2 linked regions of the Xenopus tropicalis genome follow. Each later gene encodes a partner of the first gene's protein in a complex. Links are inferred from orthologs where the notes say so. Each region holds a gene or a part of one and is shown on either strand. Other genes may lie near its edges.

Region 1 (3,832 bases):
TATTTTTTGTGTTTAAGATGTCAACATCAGTATTTCATGTGAAACTGATGGGAATCAAAAAATGATGACGTGCAGATGGAGTTCCCAAAATATGACACTACCTGAAGGAAGTGTCTTACAGTTCAAGTATTATAGGTGAGTAAAAAAATATGTAATAGGGGTGTACTCAAATTTTACACACATGTGGGCAGTGTAGTAACTATACTGGGGGCATACCACATGACTTTGTGGGGTCGGGGTAACAGGGGGTCCATGATTGGTGCTGCAAATGAAATTACAATTCTGATTTCTTGGTTTCTATTAGTTTCTTTTCAGCAGTAAAATTCAATTCAGTTTAAGATCGCTTTAGGGCCTTTGTTGTTTAGGGTATTGGTTTGTTTTCTGCACTTCCCTACAGGATGGTTGGCTTTACTTGGATGATCTTTAGGGAGCTGCAATCAAGTTATTACACCACAATATAGTGCTGAATGAACTTTTGCTCTTTTGCTCCTTTGGACAGTTTCCAGTATATTTTGTTTTTATTTTGGATATATTTTTGTTCACCTTTACTGAATGCAATTCCATGTGTTCATATTCTCGGGTAACCTGTTGCTTTTTATATGAAAATGCACCATAATCATAAACTGTGCAGTCTAAAATCCAATAATGTTTATTCTCTCTTTTGAAGAAACAAACTTTATTGCTTAGATAAAGATTTAAAAGGCAATGTGCCGATTTCAAAAGATTGCCAGTTACAAATGGATGGATTCTATGAATGCACATTTGAGCCTGTTCACCTTGTCTCTGGCTATATTATGTGGATTGAGATACAACACCATTTAGGAGCACTTAATTCGCCACCTGTTTGCATCCTTCCCATAAATACAGGTAAGTGTATATTAGGATGCAGGAAGTATAGAATATTAGGAATATTAGGTTCTTAAAACACAGATAGTGAGAGGTAGTATAGCAAGTTAGGGAGTGCTGGAGGGTGAAGGGTTGTAATGTGTCCTGCCCTGAGTGTCTATGGGGCGAGTAAAGTAAAGACACGACTGCCTTATGCCCAACAGAGCGGCACTGTGTACTCTCATGCAGTATTGTGTATCCAGGGCATTTGGAAATACCCCTAAGATTGTTGAAGTCGAAAAATATTCTTTCAAGTAGGAATATACTGTGGATCATGCATAACCCATAATACTTAATTTGGTAACCCACCCCATTACACAATTACATTTACCTGCAATTGATAATTGCTGAGTGCTTGAGATACACAGTCCTACATTGGTTGCACCAAGCTACCAAATTTGTCATTATTTATTATGCGTGAAAAAAATACGGCAGCTAAGACTTGTTAAGATCATTTAGAAGTCAACTGGAAGGTCTTTCTTTACTTTTTGGTTTTAGAGGTTTTTTGACACTGCAACAATACAAAAAGTTTTTGTGTGAAATTCTAAAAGTTTCATGTTTTTTCTGCGACTTTTTTTCATTCGTGCTTTTTCAATTCAGATTTTTTAGTAAATGACTGCCATTCATGGAAATGAGTTTAGTTGTGATTTTAAAAAATATAAAACCACAAAAATCCAAATGTTAATCATAACACTAAAGATATACATTAGTTGTACTTATATGCCTGACTAGACAATATATTATACCATTATAAGAGGTCAAGCAAGCAATGCATTTTTTTTCATTCTAAGCCTGCCTAGATTATATATTATGATATTATATAAGGCAGTGCAAACAGTGGCACAATTTGCGAGCCTCTGCTCTAGACACAGAAGTAAAGTAATGCATGCTTGGTTAATTTAATCATATGACCATGTGTAGAAATTGAGTGGCTGGTCAGCTAAATCTGTTTTCATTCAAGAGCCTTGGTACTTTCATATATATTAAAATTAATTAAATCAAGGACAAACAGTTGAGTGTGGTGTGTTCACACAGGACAATCTCAGAAAGATCACGCTACTACATAATGAGTAATATATGAGTACATTTCTGACTGACTATAAGGTATGCTGCATTTTAACAGGCTGCCGTACATTATCTAAGCACACCTAGTAGAACTCTGTGTAGCATTTACTACTTTGAGACTAGTTTATTCATTTGTGTAAGGTCTGACTGCAAACGTAAGTAAAGCAGTAGTGTATATAAATATGTTAATATAATCTGTGATTTGTTGTTACTTTTATAATCACAGAGATAAAAGCGTGTATTAAAGTAAATGAGATTCTGTTTGCAGTAGTAAATATTTTTCATACTGACTAATAATAAAAATTTTTATTTTAGCGCTATAATTCTTCACTTAAAACACTAGTTATATTTTATTGGCACCATGTGCCTTGAAAATACAAGGGTCCTCAACCTCAACCATAATCCCACTGAGTCCAAGCCAGGCAAGCAGGTAGCAAATAACCTAAACTCACTGTACTGTAGAATTAGCCATTATAAGGGTTGCTGCATATATCTGGCATTGATACTTCCTACCAGATATTTCAAGCATAACTGTAAAATGGGTTATTTCTAATATGCAGCTAAATTCTGAATGATAACGGAATGACCAAATACCCTTAGGGGCAGATTTATGAAAATGTTAGTTAAGAGCTTAATACATAAAAAGTCACCCATGTTCTATTCATTCTTATGGGATTTTAAGAAGAATATTTAGCAATTGGTGAGTTTTACCTTTAACCCATTGATAAATACACTTCTAAAAATCCCATAGGAATGAATAAAAGATGGGTGAGTTAAGATCTATTTATCACATTTTAATAAATTTGCCCCTTAAACATGAGAAAGAGGGTGGATGCAGGACATACTTATTTATAATTATCTATGCCAAATAGAAGACACCAGCAGAATGAAAGACTAAATGCAAAGGCAACTTCTGATTTGAACTTTATAATGAATGCTGAAGTGTAGAGCGCTACATATAAATGCTAACTATAATTTATTTAGTGTAAATCTGTATCCCTGTGATATAAACCTTAAATGCCCCATAAATGCTACATATTAATTATCATACAAGGTGCATGGCCTATCCTGTTATTGTTTAGATGCAGAAAAAGTAACGGGCATACATCTTATACTTTGTTATAAAGGTTATCATTTGCGATTATCCAATGGGTTCCAATTGTCTCCAATGACAAATATATGACTAATTTCTGGAATATCTGAGACTGAGAACAATTGTTTTAATTGGTTTCATACACAATGGTTTAGATTTAGATTATCTGAAATCATTTCTATTGTGTAGCACAGGCTCCTTCCCAAAGCTCAGACTCAGGTGCAATACACTGAGATGGCTGCCTACACACCAATATTACAACAAAAAAAATACATTTGTTGGTTCAAGTATAACATTTTAAATGGTAGAGTGAATTATTTGCTATGTAAACAGTGTAATTAAGAAATAAAAAGTATGCCATAAAATCATGACAGAATCCCTTAAAGTAATAAATGTTCTCTCCTGGCTGAATTCCTGACAGAATGGCAATATGTAGCCAAAAAGCAGCCAGATATCCAATGGGATTTTACAATGCACCAGAAAGATGAGGACCACATTGGAGTTTTGATTTGGGTCCTCTTGATGGGTCTGCCTAGGCCTCCAGAATAATCCAAACCAACAGATCATCCTGATTTGACCCAGATCATTGAAAATCAGCAGATTTGGTGACCTTGCCAAACAAACAGACCTTGCCAAATATGCCCAGCGTAGTTCAGACCAAGCTGTCAAAATTTAAGAATAACAATTTTTTGGCAGGCATGGATTTGCGGCAAATTTCTGCGTTTCGTGAAACAGACGCAAAAACAAAAAAAGTAAAAAAATGACTCGCAACAAAGATAATTGTCACAC
Region 2 (3,824 bases), on another chromosome or scaffold:
AAGTGCATGATAAAGTTACCAAGATGATAAATCAAAATGTTTGTGCATTTGGTTACTAAACTAAGAACCTCTAGTTTCAGGGCATGCACAGTATGTCTGCTGGCTTCCTGACATTAACCACCCAGCAATGCTTGTACCCTTACTAAATCCCTGGGATTATTATTATTAACTTTTATTTATAAAGCGCCAACTTATTCCGCAGCGCTGAGATCTGATATATTGTTTAAAAACTCATCATCACTAGACCCAATTTGTATCCAAAGTTTGTATCACTTAAAGAGAAACTCTCATTAAAATGAATTTTCCAAATATAATCTTTTAAACTTTGTGGATCATTTTGGAAATACTCACATTTATCTTCAGTATTCCCCTCTGATTGGTTGCTATAGGTTACTGGCCTGGTGCAAATTTGTGCAGTCTTTATAAATTACCCACATGGTCTTATGCCTCCAAGTCAGAAATGTAAATATTAACACTTGCTTTGAGGACACTGGGAGCAACATCCAAGTGGTTGGTGAGCAACATGTTGCTCACCAGATAATCATTTTTTAAATAATTTTTATAAAATGAAATTTATTTTACATTTTCATTTTTGTGAAAGTTCCCCTTTAAAAGCTGTTCCCAGAGACAGCAATCCTTGCTGTATTCTAATCTCTTCACTTTCTTTTCAAACAAACCAATGCACAGGTCATTTGAGGAAAAATGAGTAAATATTTATGTTCAGACTACTGACCATGTTGATAAGCTGGGGGTAGGTCATAATAGTTGGCACAGAGTGTGGCTGTACCCAGCAGTCCTTCTGTTTCCATATCAGAGAAATTGCTTTCACTGGGGAAAGCCACCCTGCAAATGGCAGATAATGGAGAGATTTTTTTTCCCTTTGAAAACATGTAGACCTGCCCATGGCAATCTGTGCAGTAACATGACAACTTGAATTTAAAAAAAAAGAATTGCATGTTGTTTCAGTTTAGATTCAGATCTTCCTTTGTCTTCCACGCCATTGTGTTTGCGCCAACTATGCTCAGATTCTTCACAAAACAAGTCTGTCAGGATGTGCTGGGGTGCTGGTGTTCAAACTATCTGCTTTAGATCTCTTGTACTTTGCAGTTCTATTTGCAGTTGGTAGAGACTTGCAACACACACACACAAATACAAAAAGTAACATTTGTGTAACATTACAGCATCTTACTTAAATAAATAACTCCCACTGTTTATCTGAAAGGAGAAAAATGACTCATTTAAAGCAGAAGTATTTTTCTGGTCCCATGTTGTTTGGTCCTCTCTTAGCTCATCATAAGATTACAGATATATAGAAACACAGTTATTATAGTCTCAGGCACATCCAAAACAGTGAAAACCAAATTTGGTGTAATTAGCCTTTGGGATGGGCCCACCTTCCACAGTCCCACAGTCTGGTAACCACTACTGTAAAGGGAAACATCAAAATGTTTTATTAGTTGGTCACCTGTTTGAATTTCATAAAGCAAATCACATTTAAATATTGAGGGAGATTTATCAATACAAGTTTTTGTGCGCTAAGAAAACTCAAATTCGACTTCTGGTTCAAAACCTCGAACGTAAAAATTTGGCCTTTAAAAGCTTGCAAGTTTATGGGAGTTGTCCTAGGCTAAGTCAAGCAATAATCAATTTGAGATATTTGAGGTTTTTTCAAAGTATTTGAGTTTTTTATTCAATAGAGTTTTCCTTAAAATAAATAAGCCAGCACTGGAAGTTGCAAGTTTATTCGATTTAGAAAACAAACTCAAATTCACCAACTCTAAAATTGATAAATAAGCTTAAAGTGTCTCTTGGGTCCCCATACTGCAACTGAATGGTAACATTCACATTCTTTTTGCAGCTATATTTTATATACACCCCTTTTCTGTTTGCATACATTGCACTGCTTATTTTTTTTGGGGGGGGGGGGAGCAGAGCCATTTCTACTACTCAGTATTCTTTAGCCCCTTCTAACCAACTGCTATTTTTTCTCTTTTGTTCATTTTTTTTTTACAAATCCAGTTCCTTTTCCCCAGCAATCTGAAAATCAATGGTTTGGATTTTATCCCAGATGAGCAGGTACTAGAAAGCCTGGAAAGTATGGATGAAACTCTTGAAGTTTTCCAAAAAATTTTCTCCAGTCTTCCATTGGAAAATGTTGATCAGATGTTGAGTGACATGGAGAATCTCCGCAGTCTCTTACAGTTACTGGGCAACATTATGGGATGTACAACCAGAAAACCCACCCAATGTGACACTCAGGTGAACCTGACAGAAGAATATGCTAAAGCCCCTTATACTACAGAAAAGGTAGCGCTGGATCGCCTCCAAAAATCCCTGCATAGTATTGTCAAACACTTGGACCACATCACTGATTGCTAACTAAGGCCCTTCTAATGACAAAATAACTCTATTTTTCACTTCTCTAAAAAAAACCCTGGGTCATTTTAATGAGGAACTACTGCAAGCCATATTTATTCACAAACTGCATAAATAACAGAGGCAATGTTTACCAGGAGCTATTTCTCTCTCTTATTTGTCAGTGAAAACATGCACATAGTTAAAGGGAAAAATTATAGAAAGCTATTGTTTCCAACAAGATATCGATGTCATAGAGTAAATCTATATGTAAGTTATTGCTAGTCACTAAATGAATCAGTAGATACAATAATAACAATAGCTGCAACAAAATCTTTTCTAGTTTCCTACAAATAAGCTTCCCTATTTGTACTGTATACTGCACACTACAGAATATTTTAAATATTTTTGATAACTGTATGGACATGACTTGCACTAGTCAGCGAACAGTAAATAATGTAACTCCAAGATATATCTATAGTAGAGAGGTTTTGCCATGGCAATAAACAGCTTTGTGTTTGGTACCACCCAGCCTAAAATGAGGTCATGCTGTAAATGACAGCCTTAGCTGTGTCTTTAGTTTGTAAAGGAATATGGCATATTTTAAAGATATTTTTATATTTAAATGTTTTCTTAAACTTGAATATTTTAGCTAAAGTGGGCAGCTGTTACTGTTATTTACTATGCACAAAAATCACCGTTATAAATATTTATTTATTTATCCTATGTTTTAAAATAAACTTTTGTAAGAAAAAAAAATGTTTTTGTTGTGATTTATTTGCATTGGCCCAATTGTCTAAGTAGACCTGACAGAGCAAGTATGATTAGAATTCTATTTTATTTTTAAGGCATTGGTAAATACACCTAGGGGCTGATTTACTAAGACACGAATTCCGACCGAATTGGAAAAATTCCGATTGGAAAACGAACATTTTGCGACTTTTTCGTATTTTTTGCGATTTTTTCGGCGCCTTTACGACTTTTCGGAAATTATCGCGACTTTTTCGTTACCAGTACGATTTGCGCGAAAAAACGCGAGTTTTTTGTAGCCATTCCGAAAGTTGCGCTTTTTTCGTAGCGTTAAAACTTGCGCGAAAAGTTGCGCTTTTTTCGTAGCGTTAAAACTTAAAAGGCGCAACGTTTTGCGCAAGTTTTAACACTACGAAAAAAATCGAAACTTTTTGCGCAAGTTTTAACGCTACGAAAAAATCACAACTTTCGGAATGGCTACGAAAAACTTGCGTTTTTCCGCAAAAATCGTATTGGTAACGAAAAAGTCGCGATAATTTTCCTAAAAAATCGCAAAATACCGATCATTACGAAAAAAACGCAATCGGACGCATTCGGCCCGTTCGTGAGTAAGTAAATGGGCCCCCTAGTTATAGAGGAAGAATAACATATTCAGATTGTGATTTGATAGTTCTAGTGATGCATCACTTTGCTATGGAACATTTGTAAAGTTGTCTAAG

The links.
Region 2: the proteins of lepr (region 1) and lep are in contact, whole or in part, in a crystal structure (PDB 7Z3R), measured with the Mus musculus proteins. The link is inferred for Xenopus tropicalis from reciprocal best matches to the Homo sapiens genes LEPR and LEP. Residues at the interface, in NP_666258.2 of Mus musculus: Tyr439, Leu440, Thr441, Arg466, Ser468, Leu469, Tyr470, Gln499, Pro500, Ile501, Phe502, Leu503, Leu504, Ser505, Val560, Phe561, Glu563, Asn564; in NP_032519.1 of Mus musculus: Lys26, Val27, Asp30, Thr33, Leu34, Lys36, Thr37, Thr40, Arg41, Gln92, Gln96, Asn99, Asp100, Glu102, Asn103, Asp106, Leu107, Leu110.

Annotation. Positions count from the first base shown.
Region 1 is NC_030680.2:84,270,235-84,274,066, reverse strand, and holds part of lepr (leptin receptor), read left to right. Parts: intron 1-17; coding exon 18-135; intron 136-667; coding exon 668-867; intron 868-3,832. UniProt on the Homo sapiens protein: Receptor for hormone LEP/leptin. On ligand binding, mediates LEP central and peripheral effects through the activation of different signaling pathways such as JAK2/STAT3 and MAPK cascade/FOS.
Region 2 is NC_030679.2:87,925,273-87,929,096, forward strand, and holds the end of lep (leptin), read left to right. Parts: intron 1-2,019; coding exon 2,020-2,379; 3' UTR 2,380-3,105; downstream 3,106-3,824. UniProt on the Homo sapiens protein: Key player in the regulation of energy balance and body weight control. Once released into the circulation, has central and peripheral effects by binding LEPR, found in many tissues, which results in the activation of several major signaling pathways.